2 linked regions of the Anolis sagrei genome follow. The protein of the gene in region 1 interacts with the protein of each later gene in a pairwise test. Links are inferred from orthologs where the notes say so. Each region holds a gene or a part of one and is shown in the gene's direction. Other genes may lie near its edges. The genes, in order: CEBPE and CEBPG.

Region 1 (9,437 bases):
ATGGTTCCAAAGCTTTGGGGGCAGAATTCAAAAACACTTCAGAGTAAAAAGCACAGCAGAAGTGAAGGAGGAAGGTTTGTCAGACTGGTTCTGCAGGCAGAAGCCACTCCCATCAGGATAAGCTATAGTACCACAAAGTGCACACACCTCAAAATGCACACCACATGGCAACTGCGAGAAAAGAAATGAAATGAGAGTCATATAAGTTTCTGAGGTTCAGCAATCCATATCCACTAACCATATTCAAACATTACACACAATTTTTTTCTCATTATGGATTCTGGGTTAATGTAAAATGAAAATAATAAAAAGTGTGGCCATGCAGGGAGCCTTGCGCTCGACCCTTGCCCCTTCCAAGCTCGGCGGGGGTGAGGGTCGAGCACAAGGCTCCACGCATGGCCAGGCCATCCAGGGAACCTTTGCAGCTTAACCATTGCCCCTGCTGAGCTCAGAAGGGGCTGGGCCGATCGGTAGGCTTCCTGCATGTCCTGGCTCTCACTGTGCAAGTTTGATCCAGGTCCATCATTGGTTGAGGTTGGTTTCACGGTGTTCTCTGGATGTAGGTGAATTACATCTCCCATAAATCACTGTCAATTCTTCCCAATCCCCTCCAGTATTTTCTATTAGTCACTGGAGTTCTGTGTGCCAAGTTGGTCCAGGTCTGTAATTCGTAGGGATCTCAGTGGTCTGTGGAATCCTTTATTTGTACCCCACTAGCATCTCCCGAAGGATTCGATGCGGCTTACAGCAGGCCGAAGCCTAAAACAATACAGCAATACAATACATAGCAAATAAAACAGTCAAGCAAAAACAATGACAATAGCAACACGACAAGACATTATTAAAAACTGAGTTGGCCGAAGTAGGGTACAGGGTTAAAAGTGCTGATGTGTCGGAGGGGTGTGGGATTATAACATGTTATTTTCAAACTAGTTAGTTCCATCAGTAGATTTTTTTTGGCTTGAGCTCACTTTACACTCAATCGCATTTACCTTTGAGTTCCTTTTTCATTTAGTTTGAAATTCTCCCATATTTGAGATTTCACTATTCAGAATAACCAGATATCTTCCTGAGGTGACAACTATAACGAAACCATTATATAATTAAAATTACAGTTTTACCAAAGACCACTCCAAAACTTTCAGATTCTCACAAAAGTATTAGAAGGGGCAGAAGATGGAGCAAATGTCCGATGTTGTTTTTAATAGCCACCACAAAACTAAGAACCACAAATGGTACATTAGGAAATCATTGTGGGAGGACTTCAAACATTGTGCTGGCTGGTTTGTAAGGGTTCTTGGCCCTCAAAGGAAGAATTTAGACCTCCAAGATCCATATCTATACCTACAAGATTGTAAGCCCTAAAAATAGAGAGACCAGTCTTTGTGAAACTGGGTAGTGCAAGTGTAGGAAACCTCAAAGCCTGGGGTTGAGAGTGACCCTCAGTGGTTCCCCAGTGGCCACATTCCTTTCATGGGATATCAACGTTTGGTCGATTCCCAGCATCTATTCGGGCTTCTTTCTCAGCTGAAAATTCTTTGCTGGAAAATCATTAATCTAAAATATGCTTCTCTCCTTTTGCTTGACCCGCCACTGGAATTGTGGAGATCTGAAATAGAATCGGGCCTTCAGCTGAAAAGAGGGGTTAGATTGTGTGCTGAGTCGAAAAGAACCAGGTTCAAATCCCATCTTAATCCTATGCCCTCTTGGGCCAGTGTCCACTGATCACCCTAAACTTAACCTGCCAGGCTTTTTGTGAGACTGAGGGGAGAAGTACCATCTTTGAGATTTCTGGAAAAAGGTGCAGACATGACTTAGTTACTTACTTAGGCGATCCCTCGTTGTCTGAGTAGGATTGTCTTCCAAGATCAGTGTACTGGCGGTGGGTCCGTAGGTGACTTTGGAGCCTTATTCTTGATCTGCATCTTCTCCCGCAGTGAGGGCATTGGTTTCCAGGTGGAAGGCGGTTCCGGTCGGGGTTGCCTTGATGTGCTTTCCTCTTGGCATGTTTCTCTCTTTCGCCCTCCATTCATGCCTCTTCAAATTCTGCAGCACTGCTGGTCACAGCTGACCTCCAGCTGGAGCACTCAATGGCCAGGTCTTCCCAGTTCTCAGTGGCAGACATGAATGTAATAGGTAAAGATAAAGGTTTTCCCCTGTCATGAAGTCCAGTCGTGTCCGACTCTGGGGTGTGGTGCTCATCTCCATTCCTAAGCCGAAGAGCCAGCGTTGCCCGTAGATTTATTTATTATGATTTATTTATTTTTTAATTGCTTTGTATTGTACCTGTTATTGCTTGTATTGCTTGTATTGTTTGTATTGCAGGCTCGGCCTCATGTAAGCCGCACCAAGTCCCTTGGGGAGATGGTAGCGGGGTATAAATAAAGATTATTATTATTATTATTATTATTATTATTATTATTGACACCTCCATGGTCATATGGCCAGCATGACTGCATGGAGCGCTGTTACCTTCCCACTAGAGCGGTACCTATTGATCTACTCACATTTGCGTGTTTTCGAACTGCTAGGTTGGCAGAAGCTGGGGCTGACAACGGAAGCTTACCCCGCTTCCCCGGATTCAAACCTGCGACTTTCGGTCAACAAGCTCAGCAGCTCAGTGCTTTAATCCACTGCGCCACTGGGGGCTCCATTAATGTAATAAACACAGTTAAAAATCAGAATGGCAGATCCTCCTGACACAGGCTGTCTATTGGCCTTCAGTCTGCATTTTAGTAAAATGACAAGATCTGAGTGGATATGCATATTGATGATGGCTGACCTACCCAAGGTGCTGAGCCCTATGGTCCAACTAGGTTCAGCACTCTGGATAGCTCCTTTAAAGTCCAGACTCAAAATCAAAGTGGATTAACCACTCACTGAGCTGGAAAGCACTACTGAGTCTATGTCTCAATTCATAAATCAAGAGTAAGGAGACACTCATTATCCTTTACTGAGAGAAGAAGCCTTTCCTCTATCAGATCAGAAAGAACACACCAAACAGTGCTCTTCTTTTCTCTTCCCCAAATATCACTGATTCTTGCTTGCTTATAATCTATGCAGCAGTAACATGTTTGGCTTCAGAGCATCCTCTGCTGGTGCCCAAAGACAATGCAATCACTTGGTGCATTTTTTAATTCCATCAGCCTCACTCTGGTTCCTATTTGGCCCAAAGATTAAGGAAGCAAAGCTGGAACGGCACAGCTCTGAAAAATTACTGTTCTAGGCTAAAATTTCCTAAATATCCAAGGGATTCTGGAAGGTACAATTTCAAAAAACCTTTACCTTCAGGTAACACCCTTTCAAGGCACCAACACTTATTGTAATGTTTATCGTCAGGGAGAAGAAGGAAAAAAGATCCCTTCAGAAAATGCCCTTCCAAGGCATCAAAGTTTATTGTAATGTTTACCATCAGAGAGAAGGAGAAATATTTGTAGGGTATATTTGTTTTTGTTCTTGAGAGCAAAATAACTAGACTTGAGCTAGATACACCAGTGTGGGTAGGGATAGTTGTCTGATCTTCCGCAGGCAAAATATTTTAGAGCCAGCTCTTGAGAAAAAGACATTTCATAGGTGCTTTTTAGCATCCTCTCTAACAATTGCAGGAAATAGGATCTAGAGGAGGGTGAGCAATATGATCAAAGATGTGGAAGCCAAGCTTTCTGAGGAACAACTTTGGGAGCTGGGCACTTTTAGGTTGAAGAACAGGAAGGGATACAATAGGCATCTTTATAGGATGGTATGCAGAAGACGGAGAAAGTTTATTCCTGCTCTTCAAGAGACCAGAACACAAACCAATGGTTTCCAATTACAATAAAAGAAATTTCACCCAAACCTTTTCTATAAAAGCTGCTTGTGCTGGAGAGTGGTGGGATCTCCATCTTTGGAGATCTTTAAACAGAGGTTGGATGTGTGACGAAATGAAAATCATGTGTAGTTTGTGTTTGATCAGCACATACATCACCTTGTTAGAGAAAGAAAATATGCTACACAGATGAACAATAAAGAACAAGTAGTTTACTCTTCGTAGTTCAGAACAACATATGTACAATCATGTGGTCAGTTACATCAACTCACATAATGTCCTTTTATGAGAGATTTAAAATGGTATTTCTTTGTCCATGTGGATGATGTCCTTCAGCAGCACATGAAGCAAGAGCACACTCCAAACTCTCTCTCTGCTTTTTTCTGCTTCTCTGCAAGCACCTGTATAACTCAAGTCTGAAAAATGTAACAGTATCCAAAAGTCCCAGGCTCAGCCATCTCTCCGGACGTAGCCCGACCAATCATCTTATTTTACAGTCAACACACACACTCACTGATTCCTTTCATGCTACAACAGGATGGGCATCTTTCAGGAACACTTGATATATTCCTGCATGGCAGAGGTCTGAACTAGTTGATCCTTGTAGTCATCTAGTGACCGTATCTCTCTTCACGTACCAACCCGGGCCCTTCGTTCCTCGGAAGAGGTCCTCCTTTCACCTCTACCAATCTCACAAGCTCATCTTGTGGGCACAAGGGAGAGAGCTTTCTCTTCTGTGGCCCCCGACTTTGGAACTCCTTACCTGGGGAGATCAGGAAAGCCCCTTCACTAGAAATGTTTAAAAAGAACCTCAAAACCTGTTTTTTCCGCTGCACCTTTGGTGAGTAGGTGCACAGCATGATATTTTGCACCCCTCAACGTTTTCTGCCAATGGAGTTCGTGCCCTCCAAATAGAATGTTCAGCCTCATAACCCTGTGTGTTTTATGAGTTCCATATAAACGTCCTGCTCCTATTTTATCTCATTAAACTGGTTTTTTTTATCCTGAATATATGGCCCGCCCATTGTCATCATTACCGTGATTGTGTTTATTCAAATGTTTATTTTATGATTTTTCTCCTTTTTAATGTTACTTTGATGATGTTGTTGTTGTTTGTTGTATATGTTTTGATTTTATTGCTGTATTATGTTGTCCGGGCTTGGCCCCATGTAAGCCGCTCCAAGTCCCCATCGGGGAGATGGTGGCGGGGTAGAAATAAAATTTATTATTACTACTACTACTACTACTACTACTACTATTATTTATGATTTTTAATGCCCATAATTTCTCAACTTTGACTATGGCGGCTTGGAGCTGTAGGCCAACAAGATCTTGAGAGCTGCATGTTCTCACGCTTGGTTTAGGCATGTTGAATTACGGTTGAACAGAAGGTATGGTTTATGCCGAGCGATATGTTTGTCACAAGGGCACATACTGGGGTTCTGCGTGGAAATAGGAATGAAGACATTTCCTGGGTGAACCAGGCGAAATTGCCAAAAGCAGGAGCCAAGATGCACCTCAGAAAGAGGAAGGAAGGGGGAGGGAGGGAGGTAAAAGGAGGGAAGGAAGAAGATGAGGAGAAAGAGGGAACAAGGCTCAGACAGAGACAGAGGAGAAAGCAGGAAAGGTAGAAAGTGAGCAGAAAAGGGCGGAAAGGGACAGAAAATTTTAACAAGAAAAGACGAGTGAAATCCTTCATCTGGGAGAACAAACAACCAAGAACAACAAAGGAGAACAAATCAGAATCAAAACCAAGTCGAAGAACAGAATTAGGCAAACTTGAAGTGCTCCAAAAGAAGAAACAGAGGACTCAAAACAGAACCTGGGAGAGGAGAGTTAAAATATACACCGGCACTAAAGAAGTACGCTGGTGCCAGTGGTTGTCCAAGGAGAGAAGGAAAACACCAGGGAACTGGGAATTGCAGCTCAGGGCCATGTCCCAAGGAGGATATTTTGAGAGCGAGCGGCACTACCAAGCCCTGGAAGTACCTCCTGCAAGGCCTGCTGGCACCGACCTGGGCCCAATCTGTGAGTCTGAGTTGGCGTCATACATCGGAGATGAACAGCTGCTCTCAGAATTGCTCCAAGGGGCTCAGCACAGAGGCCCCAAAGGCACCCCATTTCCCAACTACTTCCCCATGGAGCCGTACCCCTTCCTCTCTTATGGAGGGGAGCGCAAGGGCCTGGGACCCTTGGACCCACGTTCCGTCGCTGTCAAGGAGGAGCCGCGAGGAAGCGAAGCTGGACGGGTGGGCGGACGCCACCCATACAATGCCATGCACTTCCCAGGTGCCCACTGCGCCCAAGTGGCCCTTGGACAGCCAGGCGGGCGTGCCGGACAAGCTCTGAGAGTGCTCAAGGTAAGGAGATCAAATGGTCTTCAGCCACCATTTACCCTAGGAGGCTCTGCTAGTCTAGAACACATCACAGACCATGAAGTCCTGATCCATATTTATGGTTGGGTCTGCACTGTCCTTCCTGCTTGATGTTCCTTAGGCATTGTTTGCTCTTCTTTATACACGCAGGTCCCAAGTTACGAGCAAGATAGGTTCTGTAAGTTTATTCTTAAGTTGAATTTGTATGGAAGTCGGAATAGGTACATTTTAAAAGTGTAACTCCAGATAGATAGATAGATAGATAGATTGCAATATTCCTGCTTCTTGGAAGGGGGTTGGACTGGATGGCCCATGAGGTCTCTTCTAACTCTATGATTCTATGATTATATATATATATATATCTCAAAGGTAAAGGTTTTCCCTGACATTACGTCTAGTCGTGTCCAACTCTGGGTAGTGCTCTTCTCCATTTCTAAGTCGAAGAGCCGGCATTGTCCGTAGACATCTTCAAGATCATTTGGCCACCATGACTGCATGGAGTGCCGTTACCTTCCCGCCGAAGTGGTACCTATTAACCTACTCACCTTTGCATGTTTTTGAACTGCTAGGTTGGCAGAAGCTGGGGCTAACAGCAGGAGCTCACCCCACTCCCCGGATTTTAACTGCTGACCTTTTGGTCAGCAAGTTAAGCAGCTCAGTGGTTTAACCCACTGGGCCACTGGGGGGGCTCCATACACACAAACACATACACACACACAATAATAATAATAATAATAATAATAATAATAATGATAATAACAGCGCTCCATGCAGTCATGCCGGCCACATGACCTTGGAGCTGTCTATGGACAACACCGGCTCTTCGGCTTAGAAATGGAGATGAGCACCACACCTCAGAGTCAGACATGACTGGACTTAATATCAGGGAACAACCTTTACCTTTTAATAATAATAATAATAATAATAATAATAATAATAATAGGAGCTGACATGTTATGAGGATTTAAAGATCCAACTGCAAAGACTTTGGCACAAGCCAGTAAAGGTAGTCCCAGTCGTGATCAGCACACTGGGTGCAGTGCCTAAAGACCTTGGCCTGCACTTAAACACAATCGGCGCTGACAAAATTACCATTTGTCAGCTGCAAAAGGCCACCCTACTGGGATCTGCACACATTATTTGCCGATACATCACATAGTCCTAGACACTTGAGTAGTGTCTGACGGGTGATCCAATACAACAACCAGCATACTGATCTTGCTTGCCGAGTACTAATCTTATTGTGTTTATAATAATAACAACAACAACAACAACCATCTGCCAGCTGCAAAAGTCCACCTCACTGGGATCTGCACGTATTATTCGCCGATACATCACACAGTCCTAGACACTTGGGAAATGTCCGACGTATGATCCAATTCCACAGCCAGCAGAGTGTCTGCTATGGACTCATCTTGTTGTGTTTCTAATAATAGTAATAATAATAATAATAATAATAATAACAACTTCATTTATAACCCACCCTCTCTCTCTGAAGGGACTCAGGGCGGGACTCACGTATGCTTTGGATTGCATAGAGAAGAGTTAACACCTCTCTAGTGTTTGTTTGGCTGTCTGTGCCCCTGTTCAGAAGATTTCTCTTCACTTTCTATCCCTGTAATAATTTTGAAAAAAATTGCCTTATTGTGGAGACAAGAATTTCCGAGAAAGCTTCAGTGAAGGCACCTTTTCCTCATGATAACTCTTTTAGGAGTGGATTTCCCTCGGGAACTGTTTATACACACAACATTCCCCAGGGTATAAAAAAAACCCTTCCCCAAGGGACTTGTCTCCTATAATCTAAGACAGGAGAAAGGGAAGGAAACGGAGTCTGGAGCAGATGGGAAAAATATGTGGTTATTCCGTTGCAAGGGCTCCATCTTAGGCCCCTTCCACCCAGATGAATAAAATCCCACATTATCTGCTTTGAACTGGAATATATGGCAGCGTGGACCCAGTTGTAGGGATAAAGCAGAAATAACCCAGTTCAAAGCAGATATTGTGGGATTTTTTTGCATTGATATTCTGGGTTATATGGCTGTGAAGGAGGGCCCTTAGTTACAGTTCACCAAAATATGGCTCCAGGAGTTGACTAAATGGCCTTTAGAGATCCCTTTCAACTCTACTATTGTTGTTGTTGTTGTTGTTGTTGTTGTTGTTGTTGTTAATATTATGGTTGGATGACCATCTGCCAGGAGTGCTTTGACTGTGCTTTCCCTGTATGAAGTAAGAATGAAGAGGGTTGGACTAGATGGTCTTTAGAGCTCCCTTCCAATTCTATTATTATTATTATTATTATTATTATTATCATTATCATTATTATTCATATTAATATTAAGGCTGGATGGCCATCTGTCAGGGATGTTTTGACTGTGCTTTCCCTGCATGAAGGCAGAATGAAGAGGGTTGGACTAGATGGCCTTTAAAGCTCCCTTCCAACTTATTATTATTAATAATAATATTAAGGCTGAATGGCCATCTGTCAAGGGTGTTTTGACTGTGCTTTCCCTGCATGAAGGCAGAATAAAGAGGGTTGGACTAGATGGGCTTTAGAGTTCCCTTCCAACTCATTATTATTATTATTAAGGCTGAATGGCCATCTGTCAGGGGTGTTTTGACTGTGCTTTCCCTACATGAGGGCAGAATGAAGAGGGTTGGACTAAATGGTCTTTAGAGCTCCCTTCCAACTCATTATTATTATTATTATTATTATTAACATTAATATTAAGGCTGGATGGCCATCTGTCAGGGGTGTTTTGATTGTGCTTTCCCTGCATGAAGGCAGAATAAAGAGGGTTGGACTAAATGGGCTTTAGAGCTCCCTTCCAACTCGTTATTATTATTATTATTATGACCAAATGGCCATCTGTTGATGATGCTTTGATTGTGCTTTCCCTGCATGAAAGCAGAATGAAAAGGTTTGAACTAGATGGCCTTTAGAGGCCCCTTCCAACTTTGAAATATGATAAATATTCAAAAACATTTAACCTACTGATGCCTCAATTAATGTAATTTTAATAATAAATTAATAATAATAATGCATCTATTTTTATTTTTGAAATTTACCCGTTGCTGCTGCATTTCCCACCCTCGACTTATACTTGAGTCAATACATTTTCCCAGTTTTTGTGGTAAAATTAGGTGCCTTGGCTTATATTCGGGTTGGCTTATACTTGAGTATATATGGTAGTTCCCTCTCCTGGAAGTTCCAGCAGCTACAATCCTCTTTTTATACTTTCTGTGGTCAGTATTATTCA
Region 2 (8,970 bases), on another chromosome or scaffold:
ACTTGATGCGGTTTACAAAGGCCAAGGCATAGCATAACAATACACAACTTAAAGCAATATCAAAAACAAGAAAACAAGAAAACAATACACCAAAACACAATAAAACTGAGGCCGGGCCAAATGTAATGGGTACAGATTAAAAGTGCTGATGTGACAGGTGGTATGTCGGATTTTAGGGTAAGTGCAGTGTGCAAGCAATCTTAAATTCTAAGAAAGTGCTTCTGGGACATGTTGTTGGAGTTTTCCTATTCTGGAAAGGCACATCGGAACAGCCAGGTCTTCAAGTTCTAAAGACTGCCAACGTAGAGGCCTGTCTAATATCTTTGGGGAGGGTGTTCCAGAGTCAGGGGGCCACCACAGAAAAGGCCCTGTCTCGCGTCCCCACCAGACGCGCCTGTAACGCAGGTGGAATCGCAAGCAGGGCCTCTCCGGATGAGCGAAGAGAACGCATGGGTTCATAAACGGAGATGCGGTCACGCAGGTAGGTGGGTCCCAAACCGTTCAGGGCTTTGTAGGTAAGCACCTGCACCTTAAATTGGGCTCGGAAAATAAACGGCAGCCAATGGAGCTCCTTAAACAGGAGGGTTGACCTCTCTCTGTAAGGAGCACCAGTTAACATCCTGGCCACCACTTGTTGGACAAGTTGAAATTTCCGAGCCGTTTTCAAGGGCAGCCCCACGTAGAGCGCATTACAGTAATCAAACCTAGAGGTGACCAAGGCATGGACCACCCCGGCCAGATCAGCCTTTGCGAGGTACGGTCGTAGTTGGCGCATGAGTCTCAATTGTGCAAAAGCCCTCCCGGACACCGCCGACGCCTGAGCCTCAAGCGTAAGTGATGAATCCAAGAGGACTCCCAAACTGCGGACCTGTGACTTCAGGGGGAGTGTAACCCCTTCCAACACAGGTTGCCACCCTATACCCCGATCCAGTTTACAATTGACCAGGAGGACCTCTGTCTTGTCGGGATTGATCTTCAGCTTGTTCGTCCTCATCTAGATAGACACAGCGGCCAGGCACTCGTCCAGCACCCGAGGGGCCTCCTTGGAATTAGGTGGAAATGAGTAATAGAGTTGTGTGTCATCTGCATAGAGGTGGCACCTAACTCCAAAACTCCAGATGACCTCTCCCAGCGGTGTCATGTAGATGTTAAAAAGCATGGGAGACAAGATAGAGCCTTGCGGGACCCCACAGGTCAATGGCCAGGGGTCCGAGCAGGCATCTCACAGCTTCACCATCTGGGATCAACTCTCCAGGAAGGGTCGATTTATAGGTGAACTATAAATCCGAGCAACTCCCAAATGTCAAGGTTTATTTTCCCCAAACTCCACCAGTGTTCCGTCTTCCAGGAGCATAGTTTGCATTACCTTTTAGTTGCACGGGATAGTGTTCTTTTGCATTTCCCCAGGGTTGCTGCAGACCCAGCAGCTCCCTGGAAGTTAAACAGTATAAGAGTCTGCAAAGCCAGCCTGCAGGCCCTCTGCAGTTATTGGTTTAGAAAGTATCTCTTTGGGTGTAGAGACCGCCCTTTTTCCAGGGGATGAGATCTCCATTTTGGAATCTCCCCTGCCTCCTTCAGTGTAGAGAAAGAAAGCTTCAGATGTGCTGTTGGTCAGGCAGGGAGCTCTGAAAAAATCATTGTAAGTACGATTGAGTTATATTGATAAAGAAGCTAATTGAGATAGAAAGAATAGCAAATGAGATATGACTGAGTAATATTGGGTCTAATTCAGATAGATCAGTGTTTCTCAACCTGGGGGTCAGGACCCCTGGGGGGGGGGTTGCGAGGGGTTGCCAGAGGGGTCACCAAAGACCATTAGAAAACACAGTATTTTCTGCTGGTCATGGGGATTCTGTGTGGGAAGTTTGGCCCAATTCTTTCATTGGTGGGGTTCAGAAGGCTATTTGATTGTAGGGGAACTATAAATCCCAGCAACTACAACTCCCAAATGTCAAGGTCTATTTCCCCTAAATGCCACCAGTGTTCACATTTGGGCATATTGAGTATCCATGCCAGGTTTGATCCAGATCCATCATTGTTTGGGTCCACAATGCCCTCTGGATGTAGGTGAACTACAACTCCAAAACTCAAGGTCAATGCCCACCAAACCCTTCCAGTATTTTCCACTGGTCATGGGAGTTCTGTGCGCCAAGTTTGGTCCAATTCCATCATTGGTGGAGCTCAGAATGCTCTTTGAATGCAGGTGAACTACAAATCCCATCAACTGCAACTCCCAACCCCACCAGTATTCAAATTTGGGCATATTGGGTATTTGTGCCAAATGTAGTGCAGTGAATGAAAATACATCCTGCATAACATATAAATTTACATTACGATTCAGAACAGGAGAAAAATTACAATTATGAAGAAGCAACGAAAAGAATGTTATGGTTGGGGGTCTCCGCAACATGAGGAACTGTATTAAGGGGTCACGGCATTAGGAAGGTTGAGAACCACTGCACTCTATCTATCTATCATCTATCTATCTATCATCTCTCTCTCTCTCTCTCTCTCTATCTAATCCAGAGAGTGGGGTGAGCTCCCAATATCTATCTATCTATCTATCTATCTATCTATCTATCTATCTATCTATCTATCATCTATCTATCATCTATCTACCTACCTACCTACCTTCTTCTTCTTCTTCTTATTATTATTATTATCATCTTCATTAATGTGCAAGTACAACTTCTTGTTGTTCATTCGTTCAGTTGTTTCCAACTCTTCGTGACCTCATGGACCAGCCCATGCCAGAGCTCCTTGTCGGCTGTCACCACCCCCTTCTCCTTCAAGGTCAATCCAGTCCCTTCAAGGATGCCATCAATCCACCTTGCTCTTGGTTGGCCCCTCTTCCTTTTTCCTTCAATTTTCCCCAGAATCATTGTCTTCTCTAGGTGACCTCATGGACCAGCCCACTACACAGCTCCCTGTCGGCTATCACCACCCCCAGCTCCTTCAAAGTCAATTCCGTCACTTCAAGGATCCCATCCATACATCTTGCCTTTGGTCGGCCCCTCTTCCTTTTTCCTTTCATTTCCCCCAGCATCATTGTCTTCTCTAGGTGACCTCAAGGACTCTGGTTGCTTCTGGTTGCTTCTGGGTTTTGTTGAGTTCCAGGGCCAGAGAAGCAGATGGCGGAAACAGAAGAACGGCCTGCCTCAGGGGAGCGTGCTTGCTCCATCCATGTTCAACATCTACACAAATGACCAGCCACTGCCAGAAGGGACAGAGAGTTTCATCTACGCTGACGATCGTGCCATTACTGCTCAAGCAGGGAGCTTTGAGATGGTAGAACAGAAGCTCTCCAAAGCTCTAGGTGCTCTTACTGCCTATTACAGGGAAAACCATCTGATCCCTAATCCATCTAAAACACAGACATGTGCCTTTCATCTCAAGAACAGACAAGCATCCCGAGCTCTGAGGATTACCTGGGAAGGAATCCCACTGGAGCATTGCAGCGCACCCAAATACCTGGGAGTCACTTTGGACCGTGCTCTGACCCACAAGAAGCACTGCCTGAACATCAAACAAAAAGTGGGCGCTAGAAACAACATCATACGAAAGCTGACTGGCACAACCTGGGGATCACAACCAGACACAGTGAAGACATCTGCCCTTGCGCTATGCTACTCTGCTGCTGAGTATGCATGCCCAGTGTGGAACACATCTCATCACACTAAAACAGTGGATGTGGCTCTTAATGAGACATGCCGCATTATCACGGGGTGTCTGCGCCCCACACCACTGGAGAAATTACACTGCTTAGCCGGTATTGCACCACCTGACATCCGCCGGGAAGTAGCAGCCAATAGTGAAAGGACCAAGGCAGAGACATCTCCAGCTCATCCCCTGTTTGGGTATCAGCCAGCACGTCAACGACTTAAATCAAGACATAGTTTTCTTAGATCTACAGAGACACCCCAGCAAGCGAGAGTCCAAAAGTGGCAGGCCCAAACCCAGCACCTCAATTCATGGGTGATACCAGATGAGAGACTCCCCCCTGGGCACTCAGAAGACTGGGCGACTTGGAAGGCGCTGAACAGATTGCGCTCTGGCACCACGAGATGCAGAGCCAACCTTCAGAAATGGGGCTACAGGGTGGAATCCTCGGCATGCGAGTGCGGAGAAGAACAAACCACTGACCACCTGCTGCAATGCACCCTGAGCCCTGCCACATGCACGATGGAGGACCTTCTTGCGGCAACCCCAGAGGCACTCCAAGTGGCCAGATACTGGTCAAAGGACATTTAACCAAATACCAAATTTACAAAATCTGTGTGGTTTTTTTTTCTTTTTTTTCTTTCTCTTTTTAATCTCTGTGTTTGTTTTGCTCTGTTAGAATTGTAAAATAATGGTTGCTAATGACACAATGACACGACCTCAAGGACCAGCCCACGCCAGAGCTCCCTGTCAGCCGTCGCCACCCCTAGCTCCTTCAAGGTCAATCCAGTCCCTTCAAGGATGCCATCCATCCACCTTGCTCTTGGATGGCCCCTCTTCCTTTTTCCTTCCATTTTCCCCAGCATCATTGTCTTCTCTAACCTTTCCTGTCTTTTCATGACGTGGCCAAAGGACTTCATCTTGGTCTCTCATCTCCTTTCGTTTCGAGGCCACTCTCAGAAATTTCCTCTAGCACCACAGATCAAAAGCATCTCTCTTCCTTTGCTCAGTCTTCCTTCTGGGCCAGCTCTCACATCCGTAGGTGACTATGGGGAATACCATGGCTTGGACTAGGCAATGGATCTTTGTGGCCAGTCTGATGTCTCTGCTCTTTACTATTGTATCGAGACTGGACATTGCTCTCCTCCCAAGAAGGAAGCGTCTTCTGATTTCCTGGCCACAGTCTGCATCTGCACTCATCTTTGCGCCTAGAAATACAAACCCTGTCACGGCCTCCACGTTTTCTCCCTCTATTTCCCAGTTGTCAATCACTCTTGTTGCCATAATTTTGGTTCTTTTGATGTTTAGCTGCAACCCGGCTTTTGCGCTTTCTTCTTTCACCTTGATTAGAAGGCTCCTCAGCTCTTCCTCGCTTTCGGCCATCAGAGTGGTGTCATCTGCATATCTGAGGTTGTTAATGTTTCTTCCAGCCATTTTCATAATAAAGTGTTTTAAAAATAATTAAAATTATATAAATTAATGTGTAGGTGCAACTATGCAAGCATGAGTATTGAGTTATTAAATGTAATAATAATAATAATAATAATAAAGTGTCTAAAAATAATTATAATTTTAATAATGAATGTGTAGGTGCAATTATGCAAGCATGAGTATTGTGCTATTAATATTATTAATAATAATAATAATAGATGGGAAAGGCAGAGACAAAATGCAAGGAACTCAGCCGACTAAGTAAACAAAACAACTCTGGGCCCGCCCCCTCAATTCGCTCGCTTATTGGGTACAATATAGCGAAGCGACGAGATTCATTGGGTGTCGCGAGCTGTCAATCTCCCAGTCCGAATCCTCGGATTGGACCCGGCGCCAGGAGCCCTGGCTCCTCATTGGTGGAGGCAGCTGTCAATCGCGTCCCCCGTGAGGTAATTCGAAGCCCGATTGGCTGGAGCCCGGTTTCGCAACCGCGCAGGCGAAAGAGCGAGGAAAAGCAGGGAGGAAGCGGCGGCGGCAGTTCCTACGGAGGGAAAGGTAAGGAAGGGGCGAAGGAGGCCGCCGAGGGGTGGAGTGGCCCGTCCTGGTGGGGGAACCGTCTCCGGAAGTCCCGGGGAAAGCGGGATGACTGCTCGTTCTCCTGAAAGGCAGAAAGAGAGAGAGAAAACAACAAAAACCCTTCTGCGCATGCGCACACCCGTTTCGAGGCCAGCGAGAGAAGGGAGTCCTCACGCTGCGCACGCGCAAAGGGGGAGGGAGGGGGAGTTGGGTCGCCTTTGCGCGTGCGCATAGGCGACCCAACTCCCCCTCCCTCCCCCTTTGCGCGTGCGCACTGGAGGGAAGCTGCTTTCTCGCGTCACCTTCGGGTCTGCGCCTGCGCAGAAGGGAAGATGATGCAATCTTGGAGACACTTTCAGAGGTAATGCGGGTGACGTCATGGTAATGGCGCTGAAGGAAACAGCAGGCTGGGCAAGGAAGGAAGGAAGGAAGGAGAAGGGCCAAAACAAGAGGAGGAAAGACAGCCTGAGGGTGCTTTAGAATGGGGGATCTGGAATGTCACTTAAATGGTATTCCTTCTTTGGTTTTGCTCCATCATATAAGCAAGATTTTATATATTAATATATTACAATAATATATAATACTATAATATATAATAATAATATAATTATAATAATATATAATTTTAATAATATATAATACTATATAATATTGTATTCCTATATTATACTATATTATATTCCTATATTTTTAATTATACGACTCTGGCCCTGTTTACCTCTCCGAACGTATTCTCCCCTATGAACCATCAAGATTACTAAGATCGTCTGGAGAGGCCCTGCTCTCGGTCCCACCGGCCTCACAAGCGCGTCTGGTGGGGACGAGGGACAGGGCCTTCTTGGTGGTGGCCCCTCGACTCTGGAACTCTCTCCCACTGGAGATCAGAACCGCCCCTTCTATCCTGACATTTAGGAAACAGGTGAAGACTTGGCTATGGAGACAGGCATTCGACGAGTGAGCCAACACCCTGAGATATGGATGGAGGACGATGAACAACGATTTTAGTGTGACGACTGGCCATTATAGTTATTGATTGTAATTTCTGTTTTAATGTTTTATTGTAATATGAATTATGTTTTATTGATTGTATGTGATATTATGGTTGGAAACTGGTCTGAGTACCTCAAGAGAGGTGAGAAGGCCGGTATATAAAACTTTTAAATAAATAAAGAAATAAATATGATATATTAATTATATTATATTATTAATTATATATATTAATTATTATATTATTTTATTACATTAACTTATTGTATCAATATATTATAATATAATATATTAATACAATGATATAATAATAATAATCTATATAAATAAAAATGTAACGTTCGTTTGTGGGACTAACATAACTCAAAAACCACTGAACGAATTGACACGAAGTTTGGACACAATACTCCTATATTATACTAATACATTATATTAATTGTTATATTAATTTATTACATTAACTTATTGTATCAATATATTATATTAATATAATATATTAATACAGTGATATACTAATAATAAGCTATATAAATAAAAATGTAATGTTCGTTTGTGGGATTAACATAACTCAGAAACCACGAAATTTGGACACAATACTCCTATATTATACTAATACATTATGTTAATTATTATATTAATTTATTACATTAACTTATTGTATCAATATTAATATATATATTAATATATATTAATACAATGAATATTAGTATAATATACCAATACAATGATATACTAATAATAATCTGTATAAATAAAAATGTAATGTTCATTTGTGGGATTAACATAACTCAAAAACTACTGGACGAATTGACACGAAATTTGGACACAATACACCTAACAGTCCATCCCCCCTAAACACACACACTCACACACAAAGCCCCAGTGGAACAGACTTAAAAACCAAAAAAATGCACCATATATACATACACTCATATACATATACACATGCACGCATTGTACACACATATGCACAAACACACAAATATACACACACATATATATACATATACACATGTGCACATATATACATATACACATGCATACATACATATATACGTATACACATACACATGTACACAAATATACATACATGCATACACACATACACACAAATATGCTTATAGACAAGCATACACATAGACACAATATGCATGTACACATATAAAACACAAATACACAAATATATATACACGCATAAACACATATATACACACACATAAACACATATATACACACACAAACACATATATACACACACATAAACACATATATACACACACATAAACACATATACACACACACAGAACACATATACACAGACATTTTGGATGCCACTGTGTTTCCAACAACAACAATAATAATAATAATAATAATAATAATTTGGGCTTCATACCAAATTACAATTCCCAGCATTCCATAGCATTAGGCCATGGAAGCTAAAATGATGTCAAACTGCACTCATTCTACAGTGCAGATGCACTTTTATACCTATACATAGTTTGCCCCAAATCTCCCCTTTAGTTTCAGGTTTATTCTCATTCCAAACAAGCTTGTGCTTCTATTTCCTTTTTGACAGGGAGTTGGCAAGCAGTATTAACTGGAATACCTTGGGGTATAGAAATTAAAATTGGCACAATAACAACTATTATACATACATACGTGTGTGTGTGTGTGTATATATATAGGGGGATTCGTGGATCTTGCCAGAGCTTTTGAAAGTTCTTTCTCTCAACCCCGTTAAATACTGATTTCTGCAAATGTTTTTGATAACTGTGAAAGGCTGTAATGATGTGTATTACAGGTTTGTGCTATCAAGCATCAAACATCAGCAACACTATATGGAAATAGATACAGTTGAAAATAAGTGCAGAGCAATGTTTAAGTGTAAATAAATGTTTAGATTTTTAAAACAGTGCAAGTTCATGGTCCCTCAGACACCCTCAGGTGGTTCTTGTTGTGTGCTTTCGAGTCATTTCAGACACAGGGCAACCTTAAGACAACCCTCTCACAGAGTGTTCTTGGCAAGTTTGATTCTTCTTCTGAGGCTGAGAGAGTGGAACTTACCTAAAGTCACCCAGAGGGTACAGAGCCACAGTCACAGGTTCAAACCACTACACCACATTTTCTCGTTTTACTACCTCCTCTTCTTTTTCCCTTTTTATTTTTACGACCCCATTCCTTTATGAGTTTCTCCTTCACAAACAATCTGCTCCATCTATGTCTCACCCTGATTTTAGTATTTTCAGTATTTTAGTTTTTAATCTTACACATGCGGCCCGTTCATTGTTATTTTATTGTGTATGATTTTGTTTTATC

What was found.
Region 2: the proteins of CEBPE (region 1) and CEBPG interact in a two-hybrid assay, tested with the Homo sapiens proteins (2 studies listed by BioGRID and IntAct, with this or other methods). The link is inferred for Anolis sagrei from reciprocal best matches to the Homo sapiens genes CEBPE and CEBPG.

What each region holds. Positions count from the first base shown.
Region 1 is NC_090026.1:9,167,260-9,176,696, forward strand, and holds the start of CEBPE (CCAAT/enhancer-binding protein epsilon), read left to right. Parts: upstream 1-5,386; 5' UTR 5,387-5,739; coding exon 5,740-6,165; intron 6,166-9,437. UniProt on the Homo sapiens protein: Transcriptional activator. C/EBP are DNA-binding proteins that recognize two different motifs: the CCAAT homology common to many promoters and the enhanced core homology common to many enhancers.
Region 2 is NC_090028.1:3,816,901-3,825,870, reverse strand, and holds the start of CEBPG (CCAAT/enhancer-binding protein gamma), read left to right. Parts: upstream 1-5,545; 5' UTR 5,546-5,646; intron 5,647-5,966; exon of another isoform or gene 5,967-6,028; intron 6,029-6,036; exon of another isoform or gene 6,037-6,176; intron 6,177-8,970. UniProt on the Homo sapiens protein: Transcription factor that binds to the promoter and the enhancer regions of target genes. Binds to the enhancer element PRE-I (positive regulatory element-I) of the IL-4 gene. Binds to the promoter and the enhancer of the immunoglobulin heavy chain.